Astyanax mexicanus: one gene and its partner. The protein of the gene in region 1 binds, or shares a complex with, the protein of each later gene. Links are inferred from orthologs where the notes say so. Each region holds a gene or a part of one and is shown in the gene's direction. Other genes may lie near its edges.

Region 1 (17,261 bases):
TGTTTCTCCCGTGTCTCCACCTAAGTGTTTTCACCTGTGTTCATTTGTAGCTGCGCCCCTCGATACCTCTCCCCAGGTGAAACGAATTATTATTGTTTATTCCTTTGTGATGGAGAGCTGAAATTAGCCTTGATCAGCTTTTATTTTATTTTGTATTTTTATTCCGCCTTAAATACCGCAGCTTATGCCATCTGTTGCTCCATTTAAGGTGGAACGGGAAAGTTAGCTAGCTAGCTACTGAGACAAACTATTACTAAACTATCTTTTTTTAAGCTTGTTATGAAGAATTCAGCCATAAAACATTGACAATACACATTAAACTATGGTAATATAATGCTAATAGTCACTTTTAACAGGGAAAATATTGAAATTTGTGGGTTTATTTTGTTGCTTGATCTGCCATCTTACCAGTGATCCTAATACCTCTCGGTTTGAAATGTGCATCTGAAAAATCTATGTAAGAAGGGCTAACAAGCCCTACCCCTTCCCCCTAATGTACCCCTCCAGCCTAAGAAGAATCAGGACACCCCTACCCCTTGATGTGCACGAGGGCTAGGGGTAAGGGCTAGGGCCAAGGGGTGAAATAGGATTGGGCCTTAAGCATGGAGAACTCTTTTGTGTTTCTATATATTTAAGATCATGTTGTTGTTTTCAGGTCTGATTTTGTTCCTGTTTCTGGGCACCCTGACCATGCTGCGGCCCAACGTGTCCTTCATGGCTCCTCTGCAGGAGAAGGTGGTGTTTGGGATGTTTTTCCTGGGTGCGGTGCTCTGTCTCTGCTTCTCCTGGCTCTTCCACACAGTCTACTGCCACTCGGAGAAAGTCTCCAGAACGTTCTCAAAGTGAGGGTTTGGAGTTTTTGTTTTTAAAGGAACAATATGTTCTAACTGAGAGCAGGTGTGTAAAATTGAGGACACTGAAACAAACTTAAAACAAGTCCATGGCAGCGTATAATAACACCTGTGTCTAAATTGAGCTATTATAAAGTCAGAATTTTGATTTCTGTCTATTTATTTCTATATTCCCATTGCATCTAAGGTAAGTAAATAAGCTGTGGCTCGTCCGCTCGTCCACCGTGACTGACAGCAGCTCAACCTTTACCTATCTCAAATACTCACTGCACACCCTGATAATTCAGCTGCACACCAAGCTAACGTTAGCTTATCTTATCTGAAGCTCTGTGCTAACTAGGCGTTTTTTTAAATATATTTTGTCTGATTACTCAATTAATTGAAGGATTTTCAGTAGAATACTTGATACTAAAATAATTGATAGATGCAGCCGTGGTGCTAACCTGTTCAGAAGAAAACAAACAGCTCTGCACCTGTCTTGTAGTCCTTCTGGGTTCCAAGTTTCTCCATCTATGAAATGCATTGCCAATATTAACATGTTTCCTTAATATTTGATTGCATATTCTGATCATTTTATGAGTTTGTGCAGAAAATGGCTTTTGCAATATTTAATCTGTAGAATAAAGCAGCTCTGTAATATCTCCGACAACTAAAATAAAATCTGCCAAATTCAGTGAGCAAGATCATTTCGTGTTTTTCTCTTATCATTGCAGGCACACAAATGTAAATATTTACAGTTAAAACAGTAACATAAATGCCTTTTTTTACATTTTGTTATAAAATTCAGGTCAGAGCTTGTTTTATGGAACATAAAACATTTAATTGAAGCATGTTAATTGTTAAAATGGTGGGTTGAGGCAAAATGTAGACTTTTAAAAGGAGCTACATTCTTTTAATAAGGTGATATTAAGGAACACAGATTCACACACTGTTCTGCAGTGATGCTCTCAGGATGTTCAGGAGGTTATATGTCACTTTATGAGTTAAAGTAAAGGATAGACCGAGTTCTGTAGGGAACTTTACACAGCTTTTAAAGAGTCTGTGCCTGACATGCATTACCCTGTGCTTTGGGATAAGATAGGTAACATATTTATAAACGTCCTGTTTCTTTTTGTGTGTGTTCAGGTTGGATTACTCTGGAATAGCGTTGCTGATAATGGGCTCGTTTGTTCCGTGGCTCTATTACTCCTTCTACTGTTCCCCACAACCACGGCTCATCTACCTCTCTGTGGTGTGTGTGTTGGGCATCTCTGCCATTATTGTGGCACAGTGGGACCGTTTCGCCACGCCGCGCCACCGGCCTACACGTGCAGGTAACACACACACACACACACACACACACACACACACACACACACACTCTTTACATACACTTTAGCCCACATGTGTGGATAATATACACACAACCCTGTGTGTAACTCGTACACATGGGATTAATGTGAGTCGTCTTTGTATCTACAGGTGTGTTTCTTGGCCTGGGGCTGAGCGGCGTCATTCCCACAATGCACTTCACCATCGCTGAGGGCTTTGTGAAGGCCACCACAGTGGGCCAGATGGGCTGGTTCATCCTGATGGGCGCCATGTACATAACTGGAGCTGGACTCTACGCTGCACGCATCCCTGAACGCTTCTTCCCTGGCAAATGTGACATCTGGGTAAGCTTTTAAAGCAGAGTGTTTAAAAGTATAACATTTTCAGGGCCCTGTTTTAGTTTTATATATAGGTGAGCTGTTAAGCGTGCACCGTGCAGCTTGACTTAGGGCGTGTCAGTGTGTCTTTGCTATCGTAATGAAGGGAAAAGTAAACCTTGCGCAGCTCGAAATGCACAAAAGGCATGTACTAATTCTCTTAATTAATAATGGGAGTGTTTTGGGCTTAATGTGAAATTAACCAATCAGTGTGTTACTTGACATTCCCTTTTAGACCCAGCTGCAGTTGCTATTTTAACGGTGCAGTGCTTCTGCACTTTTTAGTGCCTGTAATGATCAATAATAATAATAATGAATCCCGCTATTTATCAGGCTTTTTGACACTTTTTCTTTTTACTTGAAAAAAGCATAGTTATTTAAACTAATCAATTTAAATGATTAATACAAAAATCTATTTTTCTATCTATTTATAATTAAAAAGTATTATGCGAATTATAGAATAACATAAAGTATTCTGAACAGTGAAAGAGCTAGCGCTTAGCGCAATTAGTGGGTAATGCTAATGCTGCTCCAGCAGTGCTAGCCAGGGTTAGCAGCAGGCTACAGGCAGATAATACTCACCTCTGGACGGCCAAAGAGCTAGCGCTTAGCAGGTAATGTTAATGCTGCTGGAGAACTAAACTGAAACTCCTGTATAACTCTGTACTTCAGTAGAGTGGCTTTACTGCTCCTTAATACCTGACTGATAGAATTCATACACAAGGTGCACTGACGATTTTTGGTGAAATTAAAGAATTTTAAGTGGGCCTCGTAGTGAAAAAAATATGGTAATCTGAGTTTTTAAGTGCAAGAAAATTTTAATAACTCATTTAATATATTATGAGTAATAATAAAACCACAAGGGCAACAAAAAAAAGCATTATTAGTAGTTCACATCTACCAAAAAACTGTAGGCGAATGGAAAACTGGTCTAAAATTGTGTATTATAAACATGGCATTAACTGGCTCTGATAAAATTATGTGAAAATTGGGTAAAAAAAAAAAAAAAAAAAATTAAAAACCCAGTTTCTGTTTCTCACTCACTCGTTCTCTCTTCCTCTCCTTTTCCTACAGTTTCAATCCCATCAGATATTCCATGTACTGGTTGTGGCTGCAGCATTCATCCACTTCTACGGCATCTCCAACCTGCAGGAGTTCCGCTACGGTCTGGGAGGCGGCTGCACCGACAATTCCCTGCTCTAAAACAACTCCGTTCCCCTGTCTCCTCGATCCAGCTGTGGCTCCCTGAATCAGCCACAGCTGGGAAAGAGCCATCGACCACCAGACCAGCCGCCGACCACACACTGAACCATGATCAAATATTAATTCTTTTAAATTATTCTAGTGAATAAGTTATAAAGTTTGTAAAGTGATTTACAGAGTATTTAAGCCCTTTCACACTTTTTCACGCATTTTTTTTTGGTCAGACGCGAATAACAAAACTCCACAGCTCTTGATAAATGTCCACGATTTCTGTTTCTCTGCTCCTTGTCCACTTTTGCATAATTAACTCCTCCACACAAGTGCTCATTAACGAGGGGAGCATTTAGTAAAGTTCTCTTCTTTTGTAGACTTAAAAATACTTTTTAAACTTTAAATTACTCCTCCTGTAATGTGTGTAAATTGTCTGTAAAGATCTCGCCATCATTCCCCAGCCTTTCATCTTCAAACCACCACATCGATCGAGTATAAGATTCTATTTTTTTCTGATTTTGATTTGATTTATTTAGTGCTCAGCATCACAGTCAGTCAATTTCTGACACCATAATTATCTGTGTATTCATTTTAAAAACTTGTCATTTACCTGTAAAAATTAGACTGTGTGTGAAAGGGCCTTTACAGAACATAATTACTTGAAAATTGTGATTTATAAAAATCTCAGAACTCTTGTATAAAATGGACTTGGGTTGTAGTGAAACATGATGACGAGTACAAACTTTTGTTGAATAGCCCTCCTCCGTCCACCACCAGTATTTAAAATACAGCGCTTTTAGCCAATTCTCCCAAAGGGCTTACAATGCTAATGACAGGGGCATAGAGTAACCCATACAAAAAAATGGTCATTTTTACACTATTAACAAGCTGAAAGTAGCTCCACATTTCATTGCTAGAATTCTGAGGATCCTGATATTTAAAACGAGGCACTGAGAGATTTAAAAGTGCAAAGATAGTTTATTAAAAACACTGTTTATACAAACAGTACCTCAATAAGTCGACTTATGAGATGAAGCGAATGGATAGGACAGATGAACAGATAAATTGAGGTAAATTGAGGGCTTTTAGTGTAGTTATGCTTCTTCATGGAACATAGAAGACTCAGACGCTCCTAGACTTAAAAATACTTTTTAAATGTAAAATGACTACTCCATAAAGTGTCTGTCAAAATTTCTCGTCATAATTCCCCAGCCTTTCGGCTCCAAACCGCCACATACTTACACATACTTACTTCTGATTCTGATATTTTTTTATTTAGTGCTCACCATCACAGTCAGTCAGTTTCAGTCATTTTAAAAACTTGACATTTACTTGTAAAAATCAAACTGTGTGTGAATGAGGCTTTACAGAACATGATTACTTAAAAATTGTGATTTATAAAAAATGTCAGAGCTCAGTTAAATAAGAAATCTTGTATAAAATGGATTTGGGCTGTAGTGAAACATGATGACAAGTATGATCTTTTGTCGAATAGCCCATCTCTATTTACCCCCAGTATTTCAAAATACAGCGCTTTTAGCCGATGCTCCCAACAGGCTAATCCTGCGTTCACACTGGAAAGCGACAAAGCAACAGGTGCCTGTTCATTCCTATGATAGGGTGCGATTTCTTGCTGCGACACGTGAGAAGCAGCAGAGTGTCGAGCAAAACACAAGCGACAATTTCCTCAACTTTGAAGCGACATTCTAACCCGACTGGTTTTTAGCATTTCTTTGGAACTTTTGGTTCCTTTCGCATTTCTGCAGAATAAAGTGGCCAAGCGATTCCTCATATTTATACCATATTTTCCCTCCAAAATGTATATTTTTAAGTGCGACTAAAAATGACTGGATGGTTAGTGTTAGGTCTGTCACAATAATTACATTATCGATTTATCGTACATTAAATAGACATTACCTTAATAATATTTGATAATTGTGATATCGTCTATTGTGCTAATTTGTATGCTTGTTTACATATATAAAACTGTGAACAGAATTTTAGTCAATACTGCTTCAAAAACTGACCAATGTTTTAATAACTGTGACTTCACCCACACAGTGTGAACTGCAGTAAGAGAAGAAATAAGTATTATTCCCAAACTATGATTAATTTAAATTTTGTTGTCTTTAAAAGGGTATGATTGCTTTTTTCATTCCATTCTGTTATATTTATATCAGTGGCATTTAATGGTCTTAAAATGACAAATATCGTGTATCACAATAATTTCTGGGACGATATATTGTGCACAAAAAAATGTTATCGTGACAGGCCTGGTAAATGTTAAATATAAAAAAAACATTTAGCATGTTTTATTAAAATCAATTTATTTGTAACCATTTCAGTGATCTAACATTAGTTACCAAATACATATTTAATTCAAACACGCATTTAATAAATAATATTTTTTGTAGGGCCAATACAAAGCAGTTGTAAGCAATGCAATTTTTCTTTTTCTTTTTTTTTTTTTTTGGAAGCTGGACCATGATACATGCATGCACTGAGATTTAACACCCAAGGACAAACGCCTGCAAGGACAAACACGGGATGCGTTCTAGTGTAAATGCAAAGTTACAGTGCTAGTGATAGGGGCATAGCGTTACTCATGCAAATGCAAGAAATGGCTTTTTTGTTTTTATAGCATTAACAAACTCAAAGTAGCTTCACACTTCATTGGTAGAAATCTGAGGGCCCTGATATTTAAAACGAGGCACTGAGAGCTTTAAGAGTGCACAGATATTTGTTTAAAACACTGTTTATACACACAGTACCTTCATTTAGTTTATTAAAACAATTTTTGTACACTTTTTCTCGATCCAACGAATAAGTAGGATAGGGGAACAGATTGAAAAAATATATATTTTTGCGGAAATGCATGCATGAATTCCAGCAATTGCTAAAAATATATCTATATCATATTAATGGATTTCCACGGAAATTAGTTTTCCAATCCTGTTCCCCTATCCTTCCTATTCAATGGTTAACTCTATGCCCTTATCACTGGTACTGTAAGCATGTTGGGAGCATCAGCTAAAGCGCTGTATTTCTGAATGCAGGGGAAAAATGGAGATGGGCTATTCAACAAAAGTTCATACTCATTTTTATGTTTCACTACAACCCAAGTCCATTTCACACCAGATTTCTCCTTTTAAATGTTTGTGCACGGTTCAGAACGTCCATCGTAACAGACTCAGATTCATCTCAGAGTCATCCTGCACTGAGAGCTGAACAGCACTACCTCTCTCCTCCTCTACGCCGCCGGGTGATCACTCTCCGTGTCCTGGAGTGATACCTACAGGTTCTGGACTCTACGGACGTTTATGTCCCACTTCTTAGATGTTAAAGGGAATAGGAATAAGATGTGAATGTCTTTATCTGCTGTAAATGTTTTCTTGTGACCAATACACTTTGTGAACTGAAATTTCTTATATACATTTTTGGATGTTTGATGTTTTCCTGTACAATAATTTGGTCAAGATGTATCTCTTAAGCAAAAAAAAACAATTTGACCAAATAATTACAAATTGTGTTTTTTTCAAATGAAGAAATTACTATAAAGAAATGCTTAAAAACTGCCTTGGTAGCTAATAAGAAAAAAAAAAGAAAAAAAAAAAATCATTCCATGTATGTTTTCTGTGGCCAAGATGGCAATACTCCTGAATACACCTTATTTCCAGACCAACACGCCAAATACAGATACAGTTTCTCTGATTTTGCTATTTATAGGTTTATGTTTGAGTCAAATGAACATTGTTGTTTTATTCTATAAACTACAGACAACATTTCTCCCAAATTCCACATAAAAATCTTTTATAATTTAGAGCATTTATTTACAGAAAATGAGAAATGGCTGAAATAACAAAAAGATGCAGAGCTTTCAGACCTCAAATAACAAAGCAAAGAAAACAAGTTCAGATTCATAAAGTTTTAAGAGTTCAGAAATCAATATTTGGTGGAATAACCCTGGTTTTTCATGCATCTTGGCATCATGTTCTCCTCCACCAGTCTTACACACTGCTTTTGGATAACTTTATGCTGCTTTACTCCTGGTGCAAAAATTCAAGCAGTTCAGTTTGGTGGTTTGATGGCTTGTGATCATCCATCTTCCTCTTGATTATATTCCAGAGGTTTTCAATTTGGTAAAATCAAAGAAACTCATCATTTTTAAGTGGTATCTTTTTTTCCCAGAGCTGTATATTCAGAAGCTGGTGGTTGAACCAGAGTTGCAGACATGTTAAATCAGTTATGGGGACTATTGTTGTTCTGTTTTTAAAACATTTTCTAAATTTTATTATTATAATAATTACTGTGATATTGTGCAGCGATAGGCTGGACTAAAAGTTAAGCTTTACCTCTTTACGCTCAATACAGAGACCATATGATTATGAAATATTAAGAGAAAATATTATTATTAATAGTTGAACATGCAGCAACAAGCGTCTTCATAGTGAAGGTTAATATTCCTCTGTATGTGTAATAATGTGATAATAGGATTATCTAGTTTATCCACCAGAGGGCGCAAACGTAGACCAAGGTCTCATTGGCCAATCACTTTACATTATGTTATCAATTTATTCAGTGTAACGGTGTCAGTTAAGAAAACAATTTTTTTTTCATTTGCTAAAGTAAAAAATATTTTTGTTAGTTTCTATCAAACATCTGATGGGTTAATCTAATAGTCGAAATATATTTTTTATCTTCCCTGAAATTCAGATTTCATGAAAAACTACAATTTAGAAAAACAAAAGAAAATCCATTCAAGAGAAAGTCTTCCCTTCCCTCCCTGCTGAAACTGAGCTAAAGGCGAAAGCTGTTGCCATGTGGGTCAGCCAGACCATTTTCAACGAGTCTTGTGAAGGTGTAGGAAACAGTACTCACTGTTTCATCTGTATTTTCTCTTAAGAAAAGACTTCTAATTTTAATAGTTAAACAGTTAAAGTGTTTCTGTGTCTTTTGCTAGTTAGTTTCTAGCTTCGGAAATTGACATTTATTTTAAATCCATTTCCCAAAGCTCATTTTATTTTCTTGGATACTTACCAGCTGTAAGCTGCTAACCAATTCATTGTTACCATGTTACCACGATAAAAAAACACCCCTTTTTTAAACCATAATTTTATCAGAATTTTTTACAATATACAATTCTTTATTATTATTATTATTTTTTTTTTTTTTTTAACTGTTCCAGTTTTAAACGCTACTCCACCTACAGGATACGACGTAAAACAAGGAATTTTGCAGGATCCTAGGAACTATACTGAGTTATTATTATTATTATTATTATTATTATTATTATTATTATTATTATTATTATTATTATTATTATTATCATTATTATTATTATTATTATTATTATTATTATTATTATTATTATTATTATTATTATTATTATTATTATTATTATTATGGTGGGCGTTACCAGAGCCGCCGTCAGCACGTCAGGCGTGTACGTGATGGCGTATCAGTGTTTTGGTTGCCATCGTGTTGCTGAGGGACGTGAGAGCCCTGCATTAAAAACATACAGCCGGAGTAACTTCAGCTTTTAATTAACTAAATAACTTAAAAAACTCAAACCTCAGCGCGTTCAGCGAGAACTGGGGAATAATATATATATATGCTGCAGTATTCAGAGCTAGGGCGCCGGTTCCTGCCTTGTTTTAGTGGTTTTCTGAGCACCGGGCGGAGGTTGAGAGCGTGGCTGGAGTATGAAGCTCTGTGGGCGGCCGCTGCAGCGCTGACTAACCGCTTACAGCACACGGAGCCCCGGCTCGCCTGGTCTCACTCCTCCGCTGCTGCTGTTGCTGCCGGTACGTTTAACCAGGGTTTGGATTTTATTATATGTGCCTTTACATAACTTTTGGGAGCAAAAATACTTATTTTACTTTTAGATATTCAGAAAGGTGTTCAGTTTGTGTGGATATTAAGGTAAATTATCTACTGTTAGCTTTGGTGCTAACTGGATCCAGGTAAAAACTGTCTTGGCTCATTTAACGTTACATTGCCAGAAACAGTATTAGCATGTTAGCTTGCTAACCTAGCACTAATATAATAATAGATACTAATTTATACATAATACATAGTTTGGTTAGATATTTTAAGACATCTAGCTGTATTTAACGTTAGCTAACCTGAGCTAGCTAGCTTAGCTTAGTAAACACTATTTGCACCAGGTAGAGATAGGTTAGCTAGCGTTAGCTAACTAGCTAAGCTAAGCTAGGTAAAATAATACTCCTGTAACAGAAAGTCTTTTCTTTATTCCCCCACTTTAGTACCCAAGTAGAAGTAATAAAGTAGCTTTATCTTTTTAATCAAGATTGTGGATATAATATTCTTTTTCATATATTTGGGGGGAAAATACTTATTTTACTTTCATATATTCAGAAAGGTGTTCAGTTTGTGTAGATATTTAGGTGGAGTATCTACTGTTAACTGTAACTGGATCCAGGTAATACCTAGCTTAGTTTAGCTTAGCTTAGCTTAAATGACCAGAAACGGTGTTTAGCCAGTTAGCCTGTTAGCTTGCTAACCTAGCACAAATGCTACCTATCTCGCTAGTTAATGTTAGCTACTAAAGAGTGCCCATGTTCACCAGGAATTTCCGCAGGTTTAACTTTATAAAGGCAGTTTATAGTAATAAATAGTGACGTGGGTTGTTTTAAGATATCTAGCTGTATTAACTAACTTGGGCTAGCTAGCTTAGCTTAGTTAGCACTATTTGCACCAGGTAGAGATATGTAAGCTAACTAGCTAAGCTAAATTAGGTAAAATATTACTCATGTTACAGTAAAAGTCCTTTCTTTATTCCTTCACTTCAGTAAGTAAAAGTAAAAAAATAACTATTTACCTTCAAATGTAACTGGTAAAAGTACTATGATTTATTATATCTACTTCTAATGTAATGTAATTTTTTATCTAGGCTCTTGAAATAATGTGCTTTTTCACAACTTGTGTGAACAAACATGTTTGTTATTTTCATATATATTTAGAAAGGTTAGTTAGGTAGCTAGCTAATTTACACATTGCTATCTGCTCATGTTTTTAAGCAATATTTCAGCAAATTTAGCCACTGCTTTTCTGTTTTTATGATTTTTTTACATTGTAAATTTAATATTGAAGACTGTATTAAAGCTATACAGAAACACATGCTGAATTATTTAGTGTTAAATAGACCAGAATATGTTTTATATTTTAGATTCCTCTAAGTAGCACATTTATCTTTAAGGACATATCTGCACACTCTTGGTATTTTCTCAGTGTTTTCATGAGATTTGTGTCATTACTACAGTTTACTGTGAAGTTAACTAAATGTTTTTCATTGCAATGTTTTCCATTGTTTTCTGATGCATTCTTTTCTTTGTATTTATACAGTTGGCTTTTTACTTCTACTTCTTACATTTTTACACAATTATCTGAACTGTCTACTCCTTACATTTGATTTAAAAAAATGGAAAAAAATAAATCATTTTAGCTGGTTTTCATTCCGGCTTCTCATCGTTCAATAAAAACCCTATCCAGATAAATCTCTCCATCCAGATAGAGTGAATCTGATTGTGATTGGATGTAGAGAAGTATAAACATAAATCATTTCGACACCCTATTGGTTTATACTGTGATCTATCACAACTGCACACCATACGCCCCGCACACTCCAGCAAGAACATAGCAGACGTATGTAACCTAGTATGAAGATGATCCGTGCAGAGACTCGAGAGTACTCCAGATAAACTCCAGTCCAACTAAACTTCCTTTAATATATTTACATTCTACTAAAATACATACATTTACAATGGGGCATATATGCAGCTGAAACAGGGAACAGCGTAGAACATCACAAATTATATTATCAACATTTACATTTTAATATTTAAACATTTATAGTCATTATGGCTTTTAGAAAAATGTGTTTTGCTTTTGATATATTTGTACATACACACAGTCGTATCAGAATATTATGTCCAATGTTATTTATCATCACTGTCTATCTTATCAGCCTTACTGATAGGAGCACATATAGGAGCAGTTAGTACTGGTAGTATAGTGTACACAAAGTTAGAACTGTATTCAGAGAGCATTTAAAATCTACCTGTAGCCTTTTTAACTTTTAATTGCATATGTCTTTTTATGTTTGTTATAGAGGCACGTCTCAGTATGTGTTATTATTCTTACCATTAATCATGTGTGTGAGTGTATTTATTATCCTCAGAGCTCTTAGTCTGTGTTGTTTTGTGATCACAGACCCGAGTCGAGCTCCATCATCCTGCACTGCCTGTGGACGTGCCGCTCTCCCCCTTCGCCAGTTGCCATGGCGCCCAAAGACATCATGACCAACTCCCATGCCAAGTCCATCTTAAATGCCATGAACGCCTTGAGGAAGAGCAACACGCTGTGTGACATCACGCTGAGGGTGGAGAACACAGATTTCCCCGCCCACCGCATCGTCCTGGCCGCCTGCAGCGACTACTTCTGTGCCATGTTCACCAGTGAGGTAACCGCGACCACCAAATCATAGCATTACATAAATAGGCTACATTAACACAGAAGGTAAAAGTGGCCCAAAATCCGATCTATTGCGTCAAATGTGTCACAGGTGTTTTTTTTGTGTGGCTGTGTAAACAGCAAAAAAAAAAAAAAAACACAGAACCTGACATTTTTTTTTATTTTTTGATTTTTATTACCTTTAGACGAACGCATTTAAAAATATTGAATGGCTTATTAGATGGCTCTTGTTGCAGTCACACGTTGTTCCTAATGAATTGGCCACAGATCATGGCTGCAGCTTTGAAGGAAAATAAATAAATAAAATCCTTCACCAGTGAGGTAACCGCAATCACCAAATCATAGCATGACATAAATAGGCTACATTAACAAAGAATGTAAAAGTGGCCCAAAATCCTATCTATTGCATCAAATGAGACTCGGGTGTGTTTTTTGTGTGGCTGTGTAAACAGCAAAAAAAATAACACACTGAACCTGACATTTTTTATTTATTTATTTTTTTTTATTACATTTAGATGAATGCATTTCTTTAAAAATATTAGACGGCTTATTAGACGCCTCTTGTCGCAGTCACAATTTGTTTCTAATAAATTGGCCATAGATCATGGCTGCAGCTTTAAAGGAAAATAAATAAATAAAATCCTGACCGTGGTTAAAAAACCTATTCAGTGAGCTGGACTGAATTCTCAGTGATAAACTCAGCTGCAGTCTGAACTCATTCATAGCTCTTAAGATTTTTGCTGCAAATAAAGATTCAAGATTCAATATTTATATTGTCAAATCACAGAGTACAGGTGTACATGTGAGTGAAAACCTTTGAAACTTAACATATATATTTTAAAGTGAAACTTAACGTGAAGCACTGCACTGCGTGCCACTTACAAAGCTAGAAACGTTCATACAGATGTCAAATTAAAAAGATTGCGTGAACAGCCTCAACTAAATATCAAATTTGTCAGAAAATTGGATTTGGGACACTCTTACCTGCTGTGTAAACATAGCCTTAGATACCAGCAGCAATAAAAACCACAGAACCTACTAATCCAACCAGCACAAAGACATCGACCTCTTATTAAAAAACAGCTATTAATTCAGCTCGGACAGTTAGCTGTTAGCCGTTGTTGCTAAGCTGCTATTGTGGCCTTCATAATAAATGTCCTCAGGCCATATTGTGTGCTTATACTTGTATACCAAGAACAATAGATGTTGCATTTTATTTGGACTTTTAAAAGTGACCAAAAATTTGGTCAGTTCTTAATAATTTTGCCTTTTTTTACCTTGCATAATTTAAATAGCCTAAATGATAAAGTAATTTCAAAACTACAGTTTAAACATATTTATTGAGCACAATAACATTTGTAACTTTCCCATCAGACATAGTAACAAAGCACAGTATTGTTCTATATTATATGTTCTGACTTGAACACCTAAAGTGCTTTTGTTCCTCCATTCTTTGCCTAATAATTTCAGTTGCTGAACTTTCGGTGCATCCCTGAAATAATAAAATAAAAAAATCACTTCCAAAATTGTAGCAAAATCCAGATAATGAGAAGTACTTAAATGGTAATTGTATAGTTAGAATTTCACATGTTTCCTCTGTATGAAATGATTTGGGGCAAAGGAAATTGAGTGATGTTTGTTATATTTGTTAAAGTGTGCTCCTATCTTCATCCACTAGTGGGTGCAGTGGAACAGGTTGGTGGACCAACAGTCTGTGGATCAGTTTGAGATAAATTTAAACAGAAATTCAGACAAGCTCTGTCTGATCATCTTACTGATGTTCTGAATAAGAGAATACTTCAGAATCTTAAGTTTATTTAGCTTCTCTGCTTTATTCTACCTTCAGTTTGGAGTTGTTGGTATTTTTTCACCCGATAAAAAGGTACAAAGTAAAGAAAATGAGGGAATTGTGCAGAAAGAAGCAGCTTCTCCCAAAACCTAATCAGCTCAACTGCTTGAGTCAGCATTGCAGGTTATAATACTATAATAAAACATCAATAACTATAATAATATTCAAACAATAATGCTTTAATTTTTCCAAAAGCTAAACTTTTCTTGTTGGGGGCCAGAAGGAGAAATATATGTGCAGTCACGGGCCACAGACTTACAGACTGTAATAAATCAAGTAATGAAATTTACTACTTATAATAATATATATTTTAATTACTATCATTTACACACCATTTTACTTGACTTGACTATCTTTATTTTTGACAGTGTTGTGTAAATTAAGATTTTTCAAATTGATGTTTTGTTTCATAATGTCTCTTTAATATTATACTCCTTCATTACGGCAACTAATTCCTGACAGATTAAACATTAAACACACTTCCCTCTGAACTCTAGTTCAAAATAGTAATTTTCCTAATGCATCTGAAATCTTCTAAATTCGCTGTCGATTTTCCATTTCTGTGGAGTTGCCATGTTCTCTCAAAAGCCAGGAACATTAATGCAGGCATAATAAAGGAAGGAAAGGAGATAATGAGCGTTTAAATTTGGGTTTATGAGATAGCGACACCTTGCGTTTAAACTTTAAATCTCACATTTATAAAAACCTGATTAATAGCGAGTCAACTTTCATTTTATTTCTAAAATACCTCACGGACCATTCCAAAAAAGGAAACAGGCTGCAAATGTCCCGCGGGCCGTAGTTTGGACCAGAGCCATAGAGAGAGAGTCGCGACAACGGAAGTTCAAAATCCTTGATGGTCACGTGATTCATGGAGATTTCAGATAGTTCCAGGAAGTTCTTGGTGGGAAATTTGAGCCCATAAACACAGAGACAGAATTGCGATTTTGGGGCACTAATAATAATATATAAATAATCCTCAATGAATTATCTATGTATAATGAAATAATATATATATATATATATATATATATATATATATATATATATATATATATATATATATATATATATATATATATTATACATAGATAATTCATTGAGGATTATTGTGACCATATATTGACTTATTTAAGGCTTATGTTATTCTGTGTGAATCCAATATTGTAATCCATAAGAGAGTTTTTATAGGCTAAATTTGTATGTTAATTAATATTAATTTCATGACACTGTGCAAATGCAGTCGCTACAAGTAAAATTTTAGGTTCAAAAGAAGATGGAGAAGTTTTGGCTTGCATATATTTAGAGTTTACTGCAAAAATAATTTAATCAAAGGATACAAAGATCTGCAAATATTCTTAAGTCACCACCTGAATATTTCATGCAGAATTATTTGGATTAAGAAAGAGGAACCACATTATTTGCAACAGCTTTATTATTTTTACAACAAACATGAGATGATATATAACTTTAAAGACTGATATCAGAATATAGAGAGGCTACATACAGAAAAACAAAGTACAGAACACATGTAAATCAACTAAAGGAAAATAGTACATTGCACATGTAAATAAACCAAAGAATCAGCACAGATTACATAAAATGGGGTTTACTTGTGTAGTTCGGAAGAATGAACCCTGGGGAATACAAAAGCAGGAAGAGAATAAGGAAATTGAGACATGATTGCATTTAATATATGAATACAATTAAACATTTTGGAAACATTATCTACATTTTATTATTATTATTATTTAATATAAAATGAAGACAAGAAAGATGATTGTATTAAAGTTGTTATATTTTGTATTCATTATTTACTTATTTTATATTTATATAAAACAAACATTAACACACACTTATATTTATTGGGTTTGTTTTTGGCACACTATTACTAGTGCATCTCAGAAAACCTGAATATAATGAATTTTTTTCTATCATAGTTTAATAAAAAAAAATCTGTCAAATTTTATAATCACTACATATAAAGAGACATATCCCAAAACTGTTTTTGTTTTACTTTTCTAAAAGCTCATGAAAAAAACAGAAATAATAAATCCCTAAAATATTTAATTTAAAACTTAAAATATAAATTGTTAGATGTGTCACTGTAAGCATAATTAATACAAAAGATGACTGTTAATTAAACAATATTAAACATTTCTTTTGAGATGCACTACTATTAAACATAACTAATTATGCTATCTTAAATTACACATGCATTGGAAAGTGTTTTTCCCTACTGTTGACAATATAGCCTATATCCTTAATCAAACATATATAATAAAATAAATATTGGTCATATCACCTTAAATCATATCTCTGTTAAATTAGTAGTTACTAAGACAAACAGTAAGATAGCTAGTTAGCGTTAGCTACCTGAGCAATAGGTAGCTATCATTTAGCTAAATTCTGCAGTACTACTTAGTACTTAGTTTCCACAGTAGTCTGTATTTATTAAGCATTTATCTCTTGTTAGTGTTTAAAGTTCTTTCTGAAATGAATAGAGTTAAGCTTTATTTACCTAGCTAGTTAGGTTAGCATGGTCTACCTGGATATATAAGATATTTATTTAGTTAGCTTAGCATGGTCTATTTGGACATACAAGATATTTACAATATTTAGTTAGGTTAGCATGGTCTACCTGGATATATAAGATATTAAGATATTTAATTAGTTAAGCATGGATGTATAGGATATTGATATATTAGATATTAAGATATGTACTTAGTTAGGTTAGCATGGTCTATCTGAATATATAATATATTGATATATTAGATATTTACTTAGTTAGGTCAGCATTGTCTATCTGGATATATAAGATATTAAGATATTTAGGAATTTACAACTAATAGGCTCTCAGTCATTAATGTTAAATGCCAGTAACTGTATTCGCGTTGTCCTGGCATAGATTTACTCCCCTAAATCTGCTTTTTAAGAGGGGGTTAATTCACTAAAATGCTTCAGTGCACATGTTAGTTTGATTCTGATGTCCTGATAAAACACAATCAGATTATTTAAGCGTACTAACCTGTAAAAGTGGACCACACATGGTGTATCCTGCTCCAGCTTCACTGTGCTGATAGTATTTGCTGCTAACTTCCGGGAACTATTGACAGGCTCCACGGTCCGCCATTGCTGTAAAAAACTGGTCCATTGGAGTGAACGGAGTTGACGCAACTCTCTCTC
Region 2 (16,116 bases), on another chromosome or scaffold:
AAGAAGGACCAACCACATCCAACAGGATTAACTGTGGATGCAAGAAGAAGCTGTCTGAAAGGGATGTTCGGGTGCCAACCCGGATTGTATCCAAAAAACTTAAAACCACGGCTGCCCAAATCACGGGAGGATGTCAGGACAATAAATTATGGTCTAAAACCAGGTGTTTCAGTTTCATCATCCAACCCCTGTAGAAATCTTTGCTTAAAGCAAATCAGAATGTCTCAGGTTTCACTTGTGGACTTGATATTTGACCTTTTGTGTTCCTTTATTGGAAAAAAAAAATCATTTTAAAGCACAAGTTCTCATTCTCTTCTGTTCTTACCCTTTCTCTCTTGCTTACTCACTTGTACAAATATTGTAGGAAGTAGGACACACCCTCCCACACACACATTTACATTCAAATATCATAATTTGCATCTTTGTGGCCAATATCATCCCAGCTGCTTGCATCTTATAGCAAACGTTGAGTGTTTTAAAATTGTGTCCATATAAAATAATGCCTAACACAAAATACAGACAAGCAAGCATTAATACATTTTCTTAAATCTTTTTAGTAGAAAAATAAAAAAGTTAAAAATACTAAAATTCTAGTGAGTGAAGCTACATTATACTGACATGCCAAATGTCACGGGATAGCAGTGTATAAATTGATCATAAAGACTTTTGACTATTGGTGAAGATGGCTTTGAAAAGGTCACACCTGTATACTGTAAGTTGTAAGGGGATCTCTTGTGAGTAAGACTGAACACTGGCTGGCATGCTTATGGCATTTATTATACTTTAAATGAGGCCTGACAGTGGAAATATGGGAAATTTACGGAATATGAAATATTTAGCATTCCTCATTCACAGTGTGTACACACTCCTCTGTACTGGAAATGTGTCACAGAAGGCATTAATACCAGCAGTAGAGAGGGCAGTGAGTGGTACTGATCATGACCGGCATTGACTGACTAGAATTGTCCACACAAACAGAGCAGCAACTCAGAAATGTCAACAATCAGATCCACACACATATCCAGCCGGTCATTGCAGCATTCTTAACTTCCATGGGTCATGCCAAACGACATTAGATCTAATAATGGTACCTGTCCCATGGCTTTTGACATGTGATTACAAAATATTATATGACCTTTTTTTGAGGAATAAGACACATGACCTGATAGGTATGCACAGTTTCATTTGCTTAAAGAAAACAAAGGCATTCCTTAGGCTATTGTTAAAATCACAAAAGCAAGAGACATTAGAACATTTTCTACTCCTTGCTTTTGCTTTTGCAGCTGCTCTGGTTGGCAATACAATAACAGTGTGTTGTTGTAACTCTTTGATGGTGAGAATGTGTTGACAGACGGGTTTTAAAACTCTTTTACTTTCTATTCAAAGTGAAATTTGGATTAAGTTTCATTTTGACTCTTTCATTTGACTCTCATCATTAACAGAAGTAAACATCTCAGTTTTTTTTTATTCAAAGTTGTCAAACTGGATATGGAAGCATCCACCCACCTGTCCTATATCGCAGAAAGCTTTGAGAGATCAGAGACCAGGTTAGTTTGCATCAGGAACAAACACTGGAGCTTTGTGGTTGTGCCCTCATCATGTCCTCTTTCAGAACCTTATAAAGGTAGGATTTTCATATTTTATGCTTTGTCATTTTAAATTGGTAGAATTTACAGTTCTGTAAACTGTAAAATGTAATGCAATGGTGTATTTTATATTGTTATCCAGCAGACCTGTTGCTATAGTGTGACTTGTTATAGTTGCATTCAGTGACAAGACTCTTGATGCTGAGTGCAATGAAATTCTCAACACAATGCTCCAAAATGTAGTAGAAAGCCTTCCATGGGCAGTAGAAACATGCTTTTTCTCCAACAAAAGCATGATCAATCCTTTTTTAATACATTAAAATATTTCAGAAGCAACAGTGAATAAACAAGTGTCTTGATAGTTTTCCCCAAACAGTGTATGTTTATTAATGATCTACAGAAAAAAAAAGCAGAGAAAGAAGTTGTTAAAAGGATTACAGAAATATATTTTTTTTCTTGTGGGTTTTGAGGAATCACAGAGCTGCTCAAAACACATTATCTACAAAATTAAACGCAGTAGTGGGATTGTGTTGAGCATTAAAGGAGCATACAGATTAGTTACTTATTTTCCTTTAGTTTAGTGGAAAAGAAAACATAAAAAAGGGTTTTTGTTCTCTTTTTTTAGTTTTTTAATAAGGTGTCTGAGAATGCCACCCATAAAAAAAAGTCGATTGGCAACAGAGATTAGATGTCCGGATCCTTAAGAAAACATTTTGTAGAATTTGAAGCCGAGCCAAAACAACGTCTGTCAGCTTGCAAGTCCAGACTAGCATTTGTGTTTCACACAGAATGCCACAATCACTTCCGTCTGCATTCTAAGAAGCTGTTTTCCTCCCACAGCTTTCAGACACAGCGAGGTAAATACCACTTTTAAATAGTTATCCAAAGTTACTTCATTGGAAATTGCTGAGCACATAATGTCCTGCCGCACGCTAATAGACGCTCAAATGGAGACAGAGTCACCCTTGTGAATACTAAGTGTAGACCTGTTGTCAAGCACAAATAAGGCACAAACAAGGAGAAACAGATCCCCCTCCATCCATGCTTTCTGCTAAAGCAGAGCCAGCCCCATCCCAGCCTCTGGGAAATCATCTGACATTGTGAGGCAGAGACAGCGAAACAGAAACCTAGAAGATTCGGAACTTGAGATGCATCCCACTTCGGCTTTGAGAAAGATTTTAATTGGATTCAGTATCCTTGATGTGTGTCATGAAAAATAAATAAATAAAATAGAATAAAATAAAATAAAAATGCTAGTGTGCTTAAAAACAGAAAGTCAGAGAGTGGAACCTATTGCTTATTATTTTTAACTGAACAAGCTTTAAGCATGGCTTATATGTTTTTTGTTCCATTTTTGACACATAGCCATAAGATACACAACAACTAAGAAATAGTCTTGTGTGTGATGACTTTGGCATGTGCTGTAGAAGCTGAAGACACAGTATTGACCTGTAGGATATGCTTGTGGGTTCTCCTGTAGTTATTTCTGCCAGAATTGCTTCTAGCCAGATGCCACCGATCATGACAATATCACCCACTGTCCTGTCTACTGTAGGTGGTAATGCCTCACTCACTCATCCCATGCCTTTTGCAATATCGGTGTATTAAACACTTTATATCTTCCCTTGTATATGTACTGTTTCATCTCGAAAATTACAGCACAGTGCACTTTAGCTATGCCCGTTGATTTCTGCCAGAGTTGCTTCTAGCCAGGTACCACCTGTCATGATCATTACCACCCACTGCACTGTCTACTGTGGCTGGAATGGCATTCTATGTCCTCACTCACAAGACAACTTCACTTTTTGCATGTCAGTATATTATAACATATATGTCCCATTAAATGTATCAGTTCATCTTCAAATATAATGTAATGCGATGTAATGTAATGTACTGTTGAAAATGTTGAAAATAGTGTGGTTGCATAAGTGTGCGCACCCTCTTATAACTGAGGGTGTGGCTTTGTTCAAACAGGTATCAGTACACACCTACAGTCATTTAATGTGTCTGTGATTAATCCCAAATAAGTTAAGCTGTTATAGTAGGTGTTCCCTGGCATTTTCTTAGTCACCACTTACAGGAAAAGGCACGGTCCACAGAGAGATCCCAAAGCATCAGAGGAATCTCATCGTCAAAAGGCATCAGTCTGGAGACGGGTATAAAAGAATGTTCAAGGCATTAGATATACCATGGAACACTGGTCAGGGAGGCTACCAAGAGGCCTACAGAAATATTAAAGGAGCTACAGGAATTTCTGGCATGTTGCTGTGTTCTACATGTGACAACAATAGCCTGTATTCTTCATACGTCTAGGCTATGGGGTAGGATGGCAAGACGGAAGCCTCTTAAAGAAGAAAATCATCCAAGCCCAGCTAAAGTTTGCAAAAACACATGTGAACTCTCCTAAAGGCATGTGAAAAATATGTTATAGTCTGTAAAAACAAAGGTTGAACTTTTTGTTCAGACGTGTGAACACTTTTTATATCCACGTATATTAGTGGCATCTGTTTCAATGATAAGAATTGGCCATGTAAAAAAGCGATTGCCCCCTTAGTTTAACTGATAATGAGGTTTTGTCAACTAAACACAATCAGGATTGAATGCAGTCAGCCTTGTTTATCATTTTTATAATGTACAGCAGTTTGAGCAGTATATTACACCATGAACAAAAGAAAAAGCTGAAAAAATAAATGGTTACAAAACCATTATCACTATATGCACTATAAACAACTTTATGGGACACTTGCTACCCTTCGTTGTTTCCTCCCAAATTAAGGTTATTATAAATCATTTATCCTGCTTTTGTTGCGAGTAACTGTTTGTACAGTCCAGGGAAAGCTTTCTACACAAATTTGGAGCATTGCTTTAAGGATTTGATTGCTTTTAATGTGAGGTCAGTATAATTGGATTATCACCCCAATTCATCCCAAAAGTATTGGATGGAGGAACAGACAGATAGATGGATGGACAGTTTAATACCTATTTCATGGTGTTAGAGTAATTCAAACTAATTGCAACAAAAAAATCGCAACAAAAAAAAACACTTTATATCTTCCCTTGTATATGTACTGTTTCATCTCGAAAATTACAGCACAGTGCTCAGATTTTATAGTGATCTAAGTATATAACATTATATAATAAAATAATATATTTAAACTAACTAAATTTTTTTTCTACTGTAGGAGCTGCTGTCCTCTGGCTTAAAAAATGAACTGGACAAGCCTGGAGGTTCTGCTTGGTGGAGTGAGCCAATACTCTACGGTTTTTGGGCGTGTCTGGCTCTCTATGGTCTTCGTCTTCCGTTTTCTGGTGTTTGCGGTAGCTGCGCAGCCGGTGTGGGGGGACGAGGCCAAAGACTTTTTGTGCAACACAGCCCAACCAGGCTGCACAACAGTGTGTTACAACAGCATTTTCCCCATCTCTCACGTCCGCCTGTGGGCTCTGCAGCTGATCTTTGTAACCTGCCCATCTCTCTTGGTGGTGGCCCATGTCAGGTATAGAGAACAGAAGAATGAGAAGTACAAGGCCTTACATAAAGACGGCAAAGCCCTGTATTCCAACCCTGGAAAGAAGCGTGGGGGTCTGTGGTACACCTACCTCCTCAGTCTGATATTCAAGGCATCCTTTGATTGCGCCTTCCTCTACGTCTTGTACCACATCTACGGATTTGACATGCCCAGGCTGTCCAAGTGCAGCCTGTTTCCTTGTCCCAATACAGTGGACTGCTTTATCTCCCGTCCAACTGAGAAGAAGATCTTCACTTACTTCATGGTGGTCACTTCTTCTATGTGCATTTTCATGTGCATCTTAGAGATGATCTATTTGGTGTGCAAGCGTGCACATAAGCTATACCGTGAGCACAAGGAGAGAGAGCTCTTGTATTCTGCAGAACAGAATGAGATTAATGTTGTTTCTCGATCTAGAGCTAGGTATATCAGAGTGGACCCCACGGCTTCGTCCAACCAGAACCTCAGCAACATCAAGAAAGAGGAGGCCACTGCTGAGATGAGTGCTTCTGTTATCTGAAAGTTCGGATTTAACATGACAGACCATAATTAAAGATTATAAAGTTAAGTTAATTTTTAAAAAGACAATACTCATGCAGACGCATGTGAGGAATACCTAATAACAGGATTGTGTGACTGCTGCTCAAAAAGAGATTTCTGTGATCAAGGGTCCACCTCATGCTGGCTAAGACCTCCGCAGTAGTCTCGGCTGTGCTGTTAGGCTAATGTCTTTTTATACAAAAAGAGCTTCATCATTTTTTGTTACATAAAATCTTCCATGCAGTTTACCTCAGAATGTAAGGTGAAGGCCCCTGCTTTCTTGCTAAAGGTACCTACTGCCCCCTGGTGCACACATAAGAAAATAATAGAAAACATTTTAAACATTTTTCAGAAACATGTTTATATAATCCCTCTGGTGATTTCTGATTTCTGTGTTTAGCCAGATAACTTAAACTGAAATAAAGTCTATACAGTAGCAAAAGACATACGGTTTTAAATTATCTGACTGAATGTGAAGTCCTGTTTTGTGTAACACCAAATAGTAAACCAACAAAATGCTAAATTCACTCAAAAATCCAGAAAAACAATATTTTTTTGGAAAATGATGGAATTATTGTGTTTATTATTCAGGACTGTATGTTTACAATATATACAAATTTAAATGCATGTACATATGTATGTTTTGTAAGAAATTAATTATCAATAAAAAAAATTATTTTGTATAAGAACTTGTGCTCTGTCACTTTATTAGGGTTAATACCACACATATCTTTCAGATGGTGTACTTTGGTCTTTGATGGTCAAGCTGATTAAAAAGATGGTAAACATTTTTTTAGGAAACTTGGAAGTTCCTGTGGATATAGCAAACTTAAATTTGAATGTATATATATATATATATATATATATATATATATATATATATAAATATATATATATATATATATATATATATATATATATATATATATATATATATATATATATATATATATATATATATAATTAAATAAAATATGGTATGGAGAGGTGTAGTAACCAAAAATATGTGCCATAGAGGTTTAAAAAGTTTTTTTTTTATCTTCAGCTACAAAAATAGAGAATTTAAAAATAGTAATTTCACTCTTTCACAACAATGAAAACCACAAAATACAAAATAGAACATGTGTGAAATATTTTTATTCAATTAACAAACATTTAAAATATATATATATATATAAAACATACACACAAGAAGTGTTCTTACACATAAGAACATACTAAGAAGTGATACAAGCTTTAACCATTACATAAAAAATATCACATCATCTTTGCTCCTCTCCTCATATTATTACGAAAGCCTATTCCTGCCACTAAATTAATAATTTAAAAAAATCAGCTCTTTTTGTATTATGTATTATTATGTAAACTGCTATCTCATTATTTTGAGATACTATTTTAAAATATTAAGATAGTAAAAAAATAGTTTGAGATAGTGAGTAATTATTTTGAGATAATATCTCATTATTTAGTAATTACTAGTAATTACTTTGAGCTACTAAGTCACAACTACTACCTTAAAAAGTATCATAAAATAATGAGATTAAATTAACTTTTACTACTATTACTCACATCACAGTGTGTAGTTTACACAGACCTGTACCGATACATGTTGTGGGGAAATCTCGTTATTTCTGTGTAGTGAGCATGACTCACGGTGTAGAACGTCATCAAGTTTCCATTATTTTAACCAATCAGAGGGGAGAACTGCGGCGCTGAACATGACAAACAGTGAAACGGACCAATCCGGGCGAAGGGGCGGGTCCTTAGTGACGCAGTCGTGGGCAGGCTGAGCGAAGTTCTCCAGCGAGATGAGTTTCTACGGACAGGTAGAGAGGGTTCCGGGTTGGGGAATGGTTGTTTTTACATTTCCTCAGTAGATTTAGCTTTAAATACTTTAACTTTTAACTCAATAAAAGGCAGATAAACGCCTGTGTAACTAGAAATAGGCTATTTACCGTAGACTTGAGCTGTACTTAAGCCTGGCAGCTAATTAGCTAGTTAGCTATGCTAGCTAGCTAGTCTGTGCTGTAGTACCAGGACATGCCCTGAAATGTAATTTAAGGAAACTAAAGACAGTTTTAACTAGTTTATGTTGTCTAGATGTGGAACTGGTTGTGACTTTTCTGAAACGAGTGTATAACAATGTATTTTCATTTTGTCTATAAACATGCTTGCTTTTCCCTAGCTTAGGTTAGTGCTGGGCGGTATGACCAAAAATCTATATCACTGTTTTGACGGTGTTACAGTAACTTTATAACACGATATTTTAATTGCAAGACTGCTTTTTTAAACATATGTTTGTGGCTAATGCTGCCTTCAAGTCGTGTCGAAAATATCGTATTTAGGAGATCGTATTTAGCACATGAAGGCCACCACAAACTCGTATTTACCAGTGGTAAACTTAGTGTGATTTTTAGATAAGCCCAGAGTTTCCCAGTTGGGGGCGTGTCAGTTACAAGAGATAAATAAATTAATAAATAAATTTAATAAATTGATGCAGATAGTTCATTTTGTAAACTGCTTAACACTTAAACACTTTCGGATTGTTATTAGCTGACTAATTAAATCACTAGCAATTTGTAAAAGAACGTAAAAGTCTAGTATGATTTACGATTCTAAAGGGATAAAATCATCATTCTCTTGATATGTGTCCAATTCGCTTCATTTTCTTGAAGTAGGGCAAAGTAAACCTCCTGTATTTACCATAATAGACCAAAAGTATAAACTAAAAGATTTTCCTAATATATTATTATTCCTATTTATGACCTCCAAACTCAAAGGTAAAACTTATATGGTCATGAATATTTGCCTTGAAGCAGTGGAAACGTCATGGAAATGTATTGGTTTAAAAGTGTATGAACGCTGATATATAACAAATATTTAACAAGGCTTTAAATTAAGGCTTTGTTTAGTGTATGTGGTTTATTTTTTCCCACAAAATGACACATTATATGAAAGAATCAGTCTGCATTTGCAGAAAACAGATACAGAATATAAACTATTGAACTATTGTATAGAAATATGCCAACAACCTTAACACTGCTTCCTTTTCAAAACTAGCTAAATCTCTTAACACAGTTCTATACACACTATAAATGGACCTAAAACACTAGATATTCCAACAGATGTTTCTCAAATGTTCTATTGCACAAGGAAGACACAAGTTTATTATCAGTTTACAACATGTTATGTTTGATGTCAAGGCATTAAAGTATTAAAATGGCTGTTTATCAGTCACAATTGCCTTGCTTCTCCAGCTAACAAATAAAACATCACACATTTCAAACATTAATATTGTCCTTCAAGCTACAGTATTACAGTATTTAAAAAGCTATACTGCTCTTTAAGTCTTTAAGTGATTCCGGAACCAGGACCCATTCTGGGCTGGTCAGGGGATTTTTTTTTTTTTTTTTTTTTGAGCTGTGGATCATTTGCATAATTCCACTCGTCTCTTTTCTAAATGAATAATTCTTCCACACAGCACTTCCGCAGAACATCTAGCAGTATGGTGGTATATAAAAAGTGCACACCGTAAGGGGAAATTAAAACCGGTTTTCTGTATGTGTTTTGTATGCCTCTATATGCACGACAGAGTAAAAAAAAAATTTCTTTTTCTGACAGAGATATCCAGGACCAGGGACTAACCCTCCCCATCAGCATCCAGGAGCCCCCTATGGAGCTGGTGTACCTCCAGGTGGTCCCACAGGAGGGCCCTATGGAGGATCACCTGCAGGTACCCCATACGGTGGGGCACCAGGTGGACAGTATGGTGGTTCTGCCCCTGGAGCACCCTATGGAGCATATGGTTCCGGTGGACATTTCGGAACAGGACCTGGTGGTGCACCTGGAGCACCTTATGGGCAGGCACCAGGAGGTCCCTACGGAGGTTATGGACAAACTCAAGGAGGACCATATGGCCAGCAGGTTCCAGGTAAACTTTTCATGCTGTTTAAAGGAATATTAATCATGTTCAGAACAGGCTTAGCTCTTTTATAATGGAAATCCATTTGAGTCACTTGAGACCTGTATTGGCATGTCATGTTTAATTTTTTTAAACATAAAGCTATATTTCCTACCTCATTGTTATTATCACACTGCCCTGGGCCCTGATCTATCTTCCAAATTTTTTCCACTTGTTCATCGCCATGGCAGACAGCAGATCCTGTCTGAACTGGCTGATGATGTCTGTGTGAGCATCAAGGTTATGGGCACAAAATAACACTCGCAGCCTCAACCTCTCCATCATGTTTGCAGTGGCCAAGGGCTGTGCACAAAAACGAAAAAAATAGAATTTATGAAGGTGCTGCAGACAAGGTCCTTCATCCCCTTTACTGCAGCTGTGTCATCTGCCCCTCACTGAATGACTGATGCCTGACTGCTGTCCAGAATCTTGGCAGCTGCATCTTATAAAGATCTGGTTCAGGTTGTGCCTGTAGCGGAATTAGAGTGATGGGCATGATAATGCTTTGTGACTGTGTGCGAGAGATTATGAGTTTTTCTACAGTGGAGAGTGTGTAATATTGTGTCCTGTGGGGCTTGAGTCGCAGGATGGCTCTTTAACACAATCATTATCCTTCCCCAGGGAGACACAGCCCATCTGGGTTCATCCCAAACTGACAGGTCTGAGTCCCTCTTGGGGCCAGAATATCACAGAATATCATTGGGGCATGACCATCACTTCACTGACATCTGAGTGTTTAATTCTGTTCAGCTCTGCCACACACTCTTATTAGCCTAACCAGGTGTAACCAGAGTGTAAATTGTAAAAGATGGCCAATGTTAAGTTTGTTTTTTTAGAAAACTCATATCTATTCAGATCTGTTTGAGCTGTTCATTGGTTTTTTGTAGCTGCCATATGACAACATATCTTGAATGATTTTGGCATTCCAGGTAACATGCCACCAGGAGTTAACCCTGAAGCCTATCAGTGGTTTCAGACCGTTGACACAGATCGCAGTGGCCACATCAACCTTAAGGAACTGAAGCAGGCCCTCCTCAACTCCAACAACTCAGCCTTCAATGATGAGACCTGTTTAATGATGCTCAGTAAGTGCTGCTTTAAATGTTTTAATATAGTCAAATTCGCATGCTGTATTTTCATTGCTGATTTGCATATTTTTTGGTCAAAATATTACTATTTTTTGCTAGTACTGCAATAAAACAGCTTATCGATATAGGGGAATGATAATGATTTATGTTATTATAATTATTATTATACTAAATTATTATTTATTTCTCACCCTCTTTTTTTATAGACATGTTTGACAAGACCAAATCTGGCCGTATGGATGTATTTGGCTTCTCAGCTCTATGGATGTACTTGCAGCAGTGGCGAGCAGTGTTCAATCAGTTTGACCGTGACCGTTCAGGTTCCATCAACAGCAGTGAGATGCACCAAGGTGAGAAGGAAAAACTGTGTATTGTTTTCCCAGAAATTAACTAATTGCTTATTATTAGCCACTATTTAAATGTGCATTAGAGGTGGGTGCCATGTCTATAAACATGTGCTAGAGGCCCATTCTCAGCTTTTTGTCTTTTTTGTTTGTGATTTTTTTTTTTTTTTTGCTGACTGCGGGGCACAGCCCCTCCAACCGCGGCTCTCCCTCGTGCAGGGCACAGTCAATATAACGCTAAATACGGGCTGTAGCTATTTCACACACTCGCTCTCAGTTCCTACAGAATGTACCTTTAAGTATAAACTCACCAGACCAAAAATGTATTATAGATGTCCTTTATTTTCTAATACTTGATTAAGTAATATTGTTTCTCTAATTTTATTAAATTAATTATCATTATGTATTAAGACATGTTTACATGTCTACTCAACAGTCTGATGAAAATCTCAGTTTGCATGCTCTCTACAAGTATTCCAATTCCAAATGAAGCTTGTGTGTAGAGTACCACTTAGTGTCCATTTTGCCATGACTGAGCTTATGTGAGTCCAGTGAGAGTAAAAGGAGCTGCAGTTTGGCCTGTCAATATATCGTCCTAAAAATGTTGTTATCGTGACAGGCCTAGCTGCAGTGTTGTCAGTTGATGTGTTTGTTTTTTAATTGCTTCTAATTATGTTGGAGTCAGAAAAAAAAATGTACTTCACATAACTTTATTAGAAAAGTGGCAAGAGAAAGAGATATTTATGTCCTGCAGCAATCAACAAGCAGCAATTCAGCACATGTGCTGAATGCCAGTTCTATGACACAAAACCTGAATGGGGTGTCCAGAAAGACTGGTGGACATTCATGGTTTAATGTCACCTGAAGGAAGATTATCTTGCCCCCACATATCTTGCTCTTACATACCCTACTCCAGCAATAATAGACTTTTTTTGCAGAACATACAGTACTTTACAAAAGGAATGTAATTGGATACAGGTCTTTTCATGGCTGTTATTCTTCAATTTAAAGGATTGCACACAAATTTTGTATTCAGAATGGGCTTGGACAAGTGTTTTCTGACTGTGGTATAAACATGAATGGATTGTATTCAGATTAAGTTGTCCATATAACTATTCCAGGATAGTGTTGCATCCATATATACTCCCCAATATGTATATGACATAACTTGACTAAACTCCTCCTTATTAATTATTAGCAGTGATAGAGGGAGACCAAAAATAAGTTCCTGAAAATAAAGAAGCCTACTTTTCTGTTAAATAGGTGTGCATTTCTTCTGAAATTTGATGGCTTTTGAAGTTATTTTTTTGTTGGTTATTCAGCATGTCATGTATGTTGCACACACATTTAGACATATGCATCCCACACTTATCATCCTGTAGCGTGTAATAGTGTGGTTTGCTTACACATGAATCACAACATTAGTGCAAGCTTGGATTAAAATGGGCAGGAACTATTTACTTATCCAAAGTAATATTTGTTTGACAGAACTGGAACAGTCATTAGGACAAGGAGACATGCAATCATATTAGCAGGTAGTGTATACTGTACGGGAGTAATAAGTCCACTCTCTACTGCTGTTATATCAGATCTGCACTAATACATAGCAGTTGTTTCAGGTTCTTATAAGACTAATATGGGAGCACCGGCTCATATTTACTACATTTGTGTTTCTGGACCATGGTCCTAGTGATTTCAGAAGCAACAAGTCTGGCTCTAGTATTTTATAACATGTTAAAAGATTATTTTAAAGTCCTGCATTACCTGTAAATCGGATTTGTTGAAATAAAGCCAGTAATAAACTCTGCCCTATTACCCTATTGCTTAATTTATGATTTTATTAAAATGAATTTGCTGTTTATTTTGCAACCACTATGAACATTATGCACTAATCTATGAATCTCTCTTCTTTTCTTAGCACTCTCTCAGATGGGTTATAACATGAGCCCTCAGTTCATTGAAACCCTTGTGAGTCGCTACTGTGTCCGTGGCATGAATAATTCTCTCCAGCTCGACCGCTTCATCCAGGTGTGCACCCAGCTGCAGAGCATGACCCAAGCATTCCGTGAGAAGGACACCGCCATGACTGGCAACGTACGCATGAACTACGAGGACTTTCTGTCAAGTGCCATCACACGACTCATGTGAAGATTTGCATTCAGATTCCATTAGAGCTGAGTGATTCCTACAGTGAAAGAGGACCACTGACTGCTGATGCCAAATTGGCACTGCAGTTTCCACTGTCTATATCCCTGTTTACAGTGCCTTTCACTGTAACTTACCTCACCTACCGCACGTGTCTTGTATATTTGCACTGGCCTTAGTCTGCAAAGGTCTACAGTTATCGCTTAAAGTGTCCAATTAAACTAAACAGCAAGCTACAGAAACATGCTAACAAATTGCATTTAGTTTGTAATTAACCTGGGGATGTGCCATAGATTTATTCTATTAGAAATGGTACCGGTAGTGCCAATTATTTGAGGTAAAATTGCATTATCTAGTCTCTTGTAGATCACCTTTTTATTAACTGCATTATTTTAAATTTTAACTGCATTTGGGGATTCATCAGCTTTATAAACTGCATATAAGTAAACCACTTGTGCTAAATTAAGCCAGTTATTGATTGTGGGCAGGATGCTTATGCATGAACTTGGGCTATTGCAACCTTTGCTGATGTCTGAGCAAAGTGTAAGTTCTTTTATATTATTCTGCCATGTTGTTTTGAAACATTTTATCAATAATGTAAGGACCAATATTTTTTTTTTTGCTTCGTGCCAAAATATTTATGAAGATTGTTTTTTGTCAAATAAAGTTGAGTGCCAATTGGTTTAATGGAGATGTGATTTAATTGTGCTGTCTGGTTCCTATATACAGATTCTAATGTAAATGTAATGTTTGTGCTACAAAACAAATATATAATTTAGGGTTAACATGTATTGTTTACTATTTGGTTTATTTATTTCCTTTTTTGTGGGTAAACTGGGTCTGTTAAGAGTAGTGGGAAGGTAGGCCTTAGTTGCCCTTATTTATTTATTTCATTTTTTGCTTGCTTGCATTTTTTTCTTGCGTTCTGACCTAAGCAATCAGACAACCAGTCTTTCCTGAGGTAAACTGAGTCTGCTGAGTAGGAAAGCCAGCTCCAGAAATGTATCAGTGTTATGGAGACCAAACCAGAAACCTTCCCTGCTTTCTTCTGTCTTTTTGACATACATGATCCAAAATAAATAGTAATAGTAAACAGACCTTTTCTTGAGATAAACTGGGTCTGTTAGAGCAGGACAAGATAACCTGAAACTCCACTAAAAGTCTCTACACATCATTCTCCTCTAGTGGGCGCTGTTGTATTACTGTGGGAGAATCTATAGCGAGGAGAATGCCAATTTTGGGTCTAAAATAAATGGGTTCGTACTGAGTAACTGAGCAAAATCAGAGTTTATAAATGTTTAAAAAATAATAATAATAGGCTTGCATACCGTGTTCAATCAGATTATGTATTCAGAATGGCCCTAATGTTTTTTTGTTTGTTTGTTTGTTTTATTTTTTTTTACTGTGGTATATACATTAATGAATGCTATTCAGGCTTAGCGGTCTATATAACCACTCCATATCGCCCACCTCTACTTTGCAGTAAGAATAAAATAATTACTGCGGGCTCCTGTACGTGAGAAAGACCGGTGTCGTCGGTGCCAACGTCATTGACGCAGTGTGACAGATTGACAGTCCATTTGGACCAATGACAGCACGGAACGTCTACGACGTCGTGTAGTATAGCCAATCGGGGCGGACAGGAGGCGGGGCGTGTGAAGGAAGAAGGGATTTGAGTGTATGTGGCTGGCTAATGGTGCTTCAATTCGACGGAATGAGAGAATTATAAACAGCAGAAGCTCCCAGTAGGTAAAATATACAGCGTTCTGTATCAGAGCGGTTAAGAGTTTATGGAAAAACACAACCTTAGATATTACAGGGTGGATATTTAATGAGTTCGTTTGTTGACACTGTTGTCCTTAAGTAGGAGAAGGCAGCCTAGCAACTAGCTGAGCTAACTGATGCTAAGCTAACCTAGCTAACTTCTTATCTAACATACAGGTCATATTTTATTAAAGCAAAATTAGAAACTGTGAGTAACATGTAAAGTAAATAAAATCATATAACTTTATACATTATTTTGTCTGCGTGGTGTTTTATGGCTAGGGTTAGGTTATCTAACTAGCTAACTAATGCTAAGCTAACCTAGCTAAAGCCAACTAACTTCCTAACCTACACACAGGTCATATTTTATTAAAGAATATTAAGAAACTGTGAGTACCTGGAATAGTAATACATTATTTTAACTGCGTAGTGTTTTATGGTTTTAGGGTTATGTAACTAACTAACTAGCTAACTATTTGTAAATTTCATGTGTTTTCAATATTTGCTAGCTAGCTGGGTTAACGTTAATTGTATTATAATCTACTTTTTAAAGTGGGTAACCTAGCTAACTAACTGGTTTGTCTCTTGGCTGTAATGGTATTGTTACAATTTCTCATCCTCTTTTAGACCCCTGTTTGTGTTTGGGCTGACTTGTGCAGCCATGTGGCCAGTGTTGTGGACAGCCATGCGCACCTATGCGCCCTACGTGACCTTCCCTGTGGCCTTCGTGGTGGGTGCAGTGGGCTATCACCTGGAGTGGTTCATCCGAGGAACCCCCAAATCCCCCGGAGAAGAAAAAGGAGTATTAGAGCTGCGAGAGGACAGAAAATTAGAGGAATTGGTTGGCCGGGACAGCACACAAGTGCTTAGTCTGAAGGACAAACTTGAGTTCACCCCCAGGGCAGCTCTGGAAAGGAACAGGCCAGAAAAGAGCTAGCTAGGCCAGTCACTCTGACTCAGGCTCTTCTCCCATCCTACTGCTTATAGTAGGGATGTACTGTATGTTATGCCATGTAATGGCAAATCCTTGGACATAAACTGTAAGCTCCTGGATCTCGATCACATTTCCATCCACTAGATGGAGACACCACGTGCTGTATTATTCACCCCCCATCCAGCTGCTGACACTGGAGTCTTGTGAAAGTGTTTGAACCGTTTTGATTCTTTGTGGCTTAATGTTCA

The links.
Region 2: the proteins of kelch-like protein 12 (region 1) and pef1 are in contact, whole or in part, in a crystal structure (PDB 8RBH), measured with the Homo sapiens proteins. The link is inferred for Astyanax mexicanus from reciprocal best matches to the Homo sapiens genes KLHL12 and PEF1. Residues at the interface, in NP_067646.1 of Homo sapiens: Phe289, Gln293, Arg320, Tyr321, Leu371, Glu417, Tyr434, Ile439, Phe481, His486, Cys511, Tyr512, Tyr528, Leu533, Cys558; in NP_036524.1 of Homo sapiens: Gly15, Gln16, Ala17, Pro18, Gly19, Ala20, Pro21, Pro22.

The regions. Positions count from the first base shown.
Region 1 is NC_064419.1:47,232,682-47,249,942, reverse strand, and holds the start of kelch-like protein 12, read left to right. Parts: upstream 1-9,202; 5' UTR 9,203-9,537; intron 9,538-11,965; 5' UTR 11,966-12,032; coding exon 12,033-12,215; intron 12,216-17,261. Other genes in the region: adipor1b (adiponectin receptor protein 1b), read left to right, coding at 656-842, 1,977-2,164, 2,313-2,506, 3,614-3,742. UniProt on the Homo sapiens protein: Substrate-specific adapter of a BCR (BTB-CUL3-RBX1) E3 ubiquitin ligase complex that acts as a negative regulator of Wnt signaling pathway and ER-Golgi transport.
Region 2 is NC_064410.1:45,601,461-45,617,576, reverse strand, and holds pef1 (peflin), read left to right. Parts: upstream 1-7,387; 5' UTR 7,388-7,440; coding exon 7,441-7,458; intron 7,459-9,253; coding exon 9,254-9,563; intron 9,564-10,522; coding exon 10,523-10,678; intron 10,679-10,887; coding exon 10,888-11,031; intron 11,032-12,943; coding exon 12,944-13,173; 3' UTR 13,174-13,861; downstream 13,862-16,116. Other genes in the region: gjb9b (gap junction protein beta 9b), read left to right, coding at 4,794-5,612; smim12 (small integral membrane protein 12), read left to right, coding at 14,851-14,915, 15,562-15,871. UniProt on the Homo sapiens protein: Calcium-binding protein that acts as an adapter that bridges unrelated proteins or stabilizes weak protein-protein complexes in response to calcium.